Nothobranchius furzeri: one gene and its partner. The main gene of each other region encodes a partner of the protein of the gene in region 2 in a complex. Links are inferred from orthologs where the notes say so. Each region holds a gene or a part of one and is shown on either strand. Other genes may lie near its edges. The genes, in order: dpm3 and dpm1.

What was found.
Region 1: dpm1 (region 2) and dpm3 share a complex: the UniProt entries of both Homo sapiens proteins name them as parts of the dolichol-phosphate mannose (DPM) synthase complex. The link is inferred for Nothobranchius furzeri from reciprocal best matches to the Homo sapiens genes DPM1 and DPM3.

What each region holds. Positions count from the first base shown.
Region 1 is NC_091759.1:5,963,562-5,966,685, forward strand, and holds dpm3 (dolichol-phosphate mannosyltransferase subunit 3), read right to left. Parts: upstream 1,548-3,124; 5' UTR 1,490-1,547; intron 1,302-1,489; 5' UTR 1,280-1,301; coding exon 1,001-1,279; 3' UTR 655-1,000; downstream 1-654. UniProt on the Homo sapiens protein: Stabilizer subunit of the dolichol-phosphate mannose (DPM) synthase complex; tethers catalytic subunit DPM1 to the endoplasmic reticulum.
Region 2 is NC_091755.1:48,132,261-48,136,882, forward strand, and holds dpm1 (dolichol-phosphate mannosyltransferase subunit 1), read right to left. Parts: upstream 3,104-4,622; 5' UTR 2,986-3,103; coding exon 2,855-2,985; intron 2,137-2,854; coding exon 2,037-2,136; intron 1,871-2,036; coding exon 1,837-1,870; intron 1,763-1,836; coding exon 1,686-1,762; intron 1,515-1,685; coding exon 1,489-1,514; intron 1,344-1,488; coding exon 1,248-1,343; intron 1,159-1,247; coding exon 1,090-1,158; intron 1,001-1,089; coding exon 886-1,000; intron 774-885; coding exon 669-773; 3' UTR 357-668; downstream 1-356. UniProt on the Homo sapiens protein: Transfers mannose from GDP-mannose to dolichol monophosphate to form dolichol phosphate mannose (Dol-P-Man) which is the mannosyl donor in pathways leading to N-glycosylation, glycosyl phosphatidylinositol membrane anchoring, and O-mannosylation of proteins; catalytic subunit of the dolichol-phosphate mannose (DPM) synthase complex.

The DNA of each region.
Region 1 (3,124 bases), on a different chromosome or scaffold from region 2:
AAATCAGTTTTTTTTTAGTGGAGAATCAAAGAAACACTGAGAGTTTACTAAAAACTTTATGTGGCTGCAAGTGGGAACAGATCTGCTGTTGGTGTAATTGCCAAATTAGAAGATTTTCAAGTAAGTTGTGTTTCATCCTGTCTGCTCAAGCAACAGCTTGCACAGATTCAGTGGGTGGGTGTGTGTGGGGTGGGGGTGGGGGACATTGCGAGGCAAGATGGAGCTGCAGCCTAACAGGCAGAGTTGCCAACTCTTTTTGCATTTGTTCAGAAGTTATGAGATCGTTTGATGCCCCGTAATGATGCCTTTGGTGAAGCTATGCTTTGTTTACACACAGCAGGGACTTGGTGAAAAATACGCAAAGGCAGCCTTTTACAGCTCGTAAAAGAAATATAACTGCCAACATCGATTACTTCAGAGTTACATACGCAGATTTGATTTTTTAGAATCAAATGCATTTGGAGAAATATTACATGATGCATAGTTTGTGTCATAAACTTACAATTGGATAAAAAGAGGCCCGTCTTCTCCCAACAGGTTAAGCAGAATGCCAAGCCCAAAAGGGCTTTGTTCTGACCCGTTTGAAGAGGAAACCCTTTGTAAAGCCACAAAGGTGCTTCACAGACATACCTGAACCTCAAGAACAGGAATCCATTTAGAAAATAAATTCCCATTTAATTAATTTTTCTGAAACACCTCAAAGGCATTGAACAAAGGAATGTAAACGTCTTTACAGATTAAATCTGGATCCATCTGCAGGTACGGGCATTACATCTCCAGATGCACACGATGCAAACACATATCAGCTTGACTCAAAGCACGTGGGAAATCCCAAAGAGCCTCTGGATTAGATTTGTCAGGATTAAACTGGAAATGATGCGTCAACATAAGTGACACAGTTTCTTATCCACATTTTAGTGAAGATGGTTCAGTTTCATCCATCCAGCTGTGAAACACATGTCCTCACTACTCGGTCTCTACAGGGTTGAGTCTTTGTGTCCTACAACTTCAAGCCCTTTTTTCTGAGGTCTTCTTTAGCTTCCGTGATCTGCTCCTGGAGCTCTCGAGCTGCCTCGTCGCAGTCGTTGAAGGTGGCCACCCGGAATCCCACCGTGGCCAGGGAGTAGCAGCCGAACGTCACCAGCAGGTAGAGAGGCATCGGCCAGGCGATCTCCCGGTACACCCGCGGGAGGCTCAGCTCCAACAGGTCAAACGTAACCAAAGCCCAAACTGTCCCCAGCAGAGACGCCCCGAGCAACCACTGCATCAGTTTCGTCATGACGGAAGCTCTATGAAACGACCTGAGAGATAAAACTGTGTTAGCAACCTGTTAGCTTATCGAGCTAAAATACGCAGAAATAAACAAACGACAAGAAACGAAAATAAACCAAACACTCGTTGAAAAGACGCGAACGCAACTAAATAAAAGGGTAGTATATAAAGCATCTATTTAAATCACGTTAAAGACCAAATAAACATGAATGTTTACCTTCTTTCAAACACCACCTCAGCACTGCGCAGATTAATGACGTTGCAGTCCGCGATGCCTTGTGGGAAACGTAGTAGCAGGACTAGTGAAATGTTAAAGCAACTCAAAAGATGCTAAAAGCCGATTTATTTGACTCAAACAAACTTTGAATTATATTTATTGTATAACCTAAAAATAAAATAAGCAATTTTTTATAAGTTTTAAAGAAAATCTTTTATTCACTTGTTCATTTTATTTAGCCTAATCATTAATTTCCAATGCATTTATTTATATTAATCGTTTTATTAAACAGTGTTATTTTCCCTAAATGTATATAAATGATCTTGTTTTTATTTTTGAACTTTCAAAAGACACAAATTATTTTTTATTTTTCAATTAAAATAAGATAATTGAACTCTTTCACATTTGCAAAATTAGAATTTGCATTTTATGAAACTATTTTAAAAGTGTTATACATGGTTTCGTTCCATATTTGTTTTTGCAGTTAAAGGGACTACAGATGGATAATGGATTGAGCTAGATGGACCTGACAGTGTTATAACTTCTTCTCAAGATTAATGTAGGCCCCACACATTCCCTGCTTCATTAATTTGATTAGAAAATACAGCTTTTCATGTTTCTGTATGGTAGCTTTAAACGACTTTCAGTTGCACCATAGAAATTAAGTGATTTATGTTAATTGCACTTATTTATTCAGTTACTCAGTTTATGATGAACACATAAATAAACTCTCTTTGACTAGCTAATGACCCCCAGAGAGGAGTGATATGACAGCAGCCAGACTGATAATTATTTAAACTTCCCTATTGATCTTGCTGCTGTGTGCAGTTTTCACTAGCGTGATGAATTAAGACCAGTATTCAGTCAGCTGTGAGAAAGAGCACTGTTTGTAATTGGACTGAGTCTTTAATGAGCTTTCCCAGACAAGCTTTTAACACATATTAGACCTCTGACGCTTTTTCAGTATCCCTTTCATGATTTAGGAAAGCCATTTTCAAAATCAGATACCATTAGCAATCGCTAAAAGCTATTTATGTATTTTCCAAAGAGAGGAATTGAAAAACAGTTTAATTTAGGCACAAACGGGGGGCTCTTTGATCTTTGATCTCAGTCTCTGTGTTAGTTCTACATCACATGCCTTTTCATTTACGGCGGTGAACTGACCAGGTGCAGAGGGCACAGATTTCTCCAGGGTGGAATCAGGAGCAGGAGGAGATGTAAACAACACTGACCAAGCTGGTGAAAGGGGCACGCTAAGTAGCCACTCAGGAATAAACATCATTCTTCTGAGGGAAAATGGGAGTTATTCTTAGGATGGTGGTGTTTATGTTTGTCAGCATTAGTGTTAATAGTGTGAATGACAATCTGCACGGCTGCCAGTGGGGGTAGAGTGTGTTTCTTCTGTTGGAGACAGTGGAAACCAGTCTGCGAAAGCTCCTTAAACAGAACTCAACAATGACTTTTTAAGGAGCATTCATGAGAATGTTTGATCTTTTATTAAAATATTTTAAAGAAAATAGAATCCTGATTTGCAGTGAGTTATTGCACAGCAGTTGGTTGCAGCTTCAGCGCTGGATTGTGGTTGTTCTGTGTAGAGTTTACTTAAGTTTTCTCCTGGTGCTCCAGTTTCCTCCC
Region 2 (4,622 bases):
GTCTAGGGTTTGTTTCCAATTAAATGAAAAATACAGACATCTTCTCACACAAAAACCCAGATTATGTTCTAAACTACAGCTTTTAGCATGTTTCCTTTAATAGCAGACGTGGATTCCCAAAGATCTTAGATCCTTTAAGTGTTTCTTCCTGGATAATCCAGACATGTCCGTGATATTTTTGGGTATTTGATGTATGCCGACATTAAAAGTCTTACAAGTATATAAATGGAGTCAATTTCTAATTTTTGGATATGGCAGGTGTGATCAGTCTCAGGTTTCTGTTTCTTAAGTCAAGAGTTCATTTAAATTCGCATACAATTTCCATTGGATCAATTAAAAATAAACAAACAAGAGTCTACAATTAAAACGTGTTTATTTTTATGCATTTGCAAACTGTAATAATAAAGAATTCCAGAAACATTCTGCGATGGGATTGACAAGACTTGGGAATCACCATTTCTTCAGCATTCTGAAAACTACAGAAAAGAACATCTTCCACAGTTTTAACTGCTAACACCTTCCTTCTCCTGTGTTGTCCTGTCACCGTATGATTACAGAAAGTGGTGAACGTCTCTCTCTTGTTTTTAATTTGGTGAAACTTCTGTTTTAAAGACAAACTTGTGGAACGAGGAAAAAAAAAAGCTCCCAGAAGCTCTGAACATCGCTGATCACGTCGTGGCGAAGAGTGTGAGCAGTCCTCTCACAAATGACACGATCTCATTCCCTCCCAGTTTTGACTCTCCATAAACCCGATCCACAAAGGAAATAGGAACCTGCGAACGACGAGGAGAAAATAAACCTTAGTTTAATTTCAGCGGAAACGTTGAGAAGAACTCATACAAAGTACAAATATTCAAAGAACCCAACAGCGTGGTAGGTCAACACCTCTCCAATTGTGTAGTTGAGCTGTCTGGCTCGGACGATCATCTCCATCTGGAACACGTAACCTTTAGACACACACCGCTCCACCAGACTCTCCAGCACATTTTTCTTGTATAACCTTCCAAAAGCGTAGGGAAAAAAGCACAAAAGTGAGGAAACGGTTCAGTTTTCTAGTCAATGACGATTCAAACCTCTTGCATCAGTTACCTGAAGCTGCCCGTGAGGTCCGAAGCGCCGGGTCTCAACAAAACCTGAGTCAAAAAGTTAGCACCTCGACTAAGACACAGGAGAGAAAAACAAATCTCGTTTTCATCGAGCGTAGGAGAGCGGACACTGGTGACCAAGTTCTGCTCACTGGCCGTTACCTGATGAGTTTCCTGCGCAGGTCCCAGCCGTAGACACCTCCATTGCCCTGATAGCGAGTACCAGACACAAGGTCATAACCACCTTCCTTCTGCTTTCTGTGAATGAAATACGATACTTTACCTAAAACATGCTAGAATAATCCGACTCGTCACACATGGATGAAAGTTACCCTGATAATCAGAAATGTTGCGAGTCTTTATAAACGCACCAACTCATAACATAAAAAACAATTATACTTACTCAATAAATTCAGGAATAAACTTGGGCTGAAATAAAATAAAGACGAATAAAATACACAGCAGTGCAACAAAATAAATAAATAAATAAATACTCAATTGGACTTTACTAGCCATTTGTGTTTTTCCAGACAAGATACTCAAAAGATGTCTTGTTTCTAAGATATTTTATACATCAAATACACTCGTGCATCGACTCACGTGATGGGAAAGATCTGCATCCATGATGATGATGAAGTTCCCAGTGGCATGCTTCATGCCATGGATGTAGGCTGTGCCTTTAAAACATGAAGGGATGATTACATCCACTGGTAATGTTTATAAAGGAAATGCAATAATTTTACCAACTTACCAAGGCCTAATTTTTTCTCCCTTGGTCGCAGAACCTGAAAAATTAGAAGGATTTAACAATTAATGACTGTTGATTATCACTGTAAAGTTTTGTGATAAAAAAAACAAACAAATTACTTTTTAATTATTTTACACAGTATATGTGGTGCAACTTTAATGTGAATTTATCTTGTTCATGCTGAGAGATCAGTCTTAACTTACTATTTTGTCCTTTCCGTAAATTTTCTGCAACTGCTCTGCAACCTCCAGTGTCCCATCTGGGCTTCCGTCATCAATGATAATAATCTCATAGTCATATCCACTGTGAGAAATAAGCATTACTATCATGCCGACAGAGATTACTGTAAATCAATCTTTAGACATATAAAAAACTATTTCACTTAAAATGACAAAAATTATTTTTCATTTATCAATTTATTAATTCATTTATTAAAAACATTAAATATTATTTCACAAACGTTTTAGGAATGTAATCACAAGAGATGAATCCGTTCAAGTTACCTTTTAAAGACGCAATTAACTGTTACACACACATATACATATATATACACATACATATATATGTAATATATATACACATACATATACATATATATATATATATGCATATATGCATATATATATACATGCATGCATGCATGTATATATATATATATATATATATATATATATATATATATATATATATATATATATATGTGTGTGTGTGTGTGTGTACAATTATTCTTTATATTTATTTCAGGATAAGTAAATCCAGGTCTTAGTTTTCACCTACATTTATAATGAAAGAAAAAATACTGGAAATCGTCGGTTTCTGCAGCATTATAAAACGAATAAAAACTCAGAACAAAATTTAAAATGCGTCTTAGAAGGCAACTACTAAATTAACAGTATAATCCAGATTTAATGTGTCTCTACTACCAAATCAGCGTCGATGACACAAGTGACAACTCATCGCTAGCAGACGCTAACAAGAGTTATCATTAGCCACGCATCTTTGCACGCTTAAAAAAACTCACCCTTCTCCGAAATATTTCAACAAAAGCCACACTATCAGAGGCAGGTTTTCTCTTTCGTTGTACGTGGGTAATAATACAGAGTATTTGTCCCGGCTCTCTCGCTTTGGTTGCGAAGATTTTCGACTAGCCATAGCAGACGCGAAAGCTCAAAATACTATAAGCTAGTTGAGAAGTTAAAAGAAGTGCTGTACAATTTCCTGTTGTCGTATTTCAAAATAAAGGTCAGTTTGAATTTCGTCCTGTCGGAAGACCCCCCCACCACCACCACCACCCACACACACACAACTTACATTGTCATTCTAGTTTTGCAAAAAGTAAGCAACTGTACTTGGCTCAGTGGTAATACTACATTTCAATATTTATATAATATATATATTTTAATAATGTCTAAATCAAGTAACTAGTTAACCAGAGGAATACTTGGGCTGTACAAATAAATTATTATAGATCAATGAAAAAGTGTTTTTCACTCATGTACTTGAACACTTTCTGGGTATGTGGAAGGACAGTATTCTTCGGGATTACGTTTGTCATAAAATGCGAACGTTTACGCTGAAATTAGTCTTGAACATCGCCTTGGCTTATTTGAACTTCCTGTTGTACTTTCCAAAATAAACACACCTAGAAACCAATTCCTCCATCATGGTTCCGACAACAGTTTTCAGCGCGGTCACTTACCTTGAAAACGTCTTTAAATAAATAAATAAACCATAAGAAATACACAGAAAAATGTAAACAACACAATAAATATAGTGATGTTCCAAAAGACTAACACACAACGAATTCATAAACATTTTATTTAAAAATACACAAAAACATTGGAGATAACGTGACATTTTTACTCTCAACACATATGCCAACACCAAGAAACCACAAAATTGTAAACAGAAATAACTACTTGGAATACATAGTAGATAGTATATAACAATAAAATGGATATGCCAAATAATAAATATAAACTATACAAAACAAAATTCTCACAGTATCATTTATACCATGGAATAAAAAGAACATTTTACACCATGGAATACACTTATTCTTTATCTTTGAGGCAGTTTAGGTTAAAATGCAAATAAAATTCATAAAAGACACAAAAGGCTTGACTTTTTCCTTAATACAGTGCATAAACATAACAAAGTATACATACACGATTTCAGTGCTAGATTGTTAAACAATAAGGTACTTTACTGATCCCTCTGGGAACAGCATTTTTGTTTTGATCAATACCAAAAGCTGTACTTAATACAAAAACATTTCTGGACTTAAAATCCTGTCTTTGGAGTTTTAAAACAAAAAGTACACAAACCAAGATTCCCCTTATGGTTGAACAGTTTTTAAGGTAAAGTTTCGGCATCATCCAAGGGTTAGTTCAAGATGATGAAGGTCTCCAGTGGTCACTTTTGCAGATGTAATCTCTGTTTAGTTCTGCTCTAAAGGACCACCAGTGTCTCATGGTGTCACTGCTGCCTGCTTGTTTTCTCCAGGGCTGGTGGCCATAATGTGGATCTTCTGGATAAGAACAGTACACACACGCGTGCGTGCATGCATGAAAACATTTACCAATACTAGAACTCAAGACTCTCCATATGGGAGAGGATTAGAGTCACTGAAAAGAAAAAAAGTCTTAGCATTCTGACTTTTTTCTCTAAAATCTGAATTTGATTAATAAAAAGACATAATTGTGAGATGAAAGTCACTTGGTTTGACTTACATCTTTTAAACTATTTAAATCAAACATCTTTATTTAATTTTTGATTAATGATTGGTC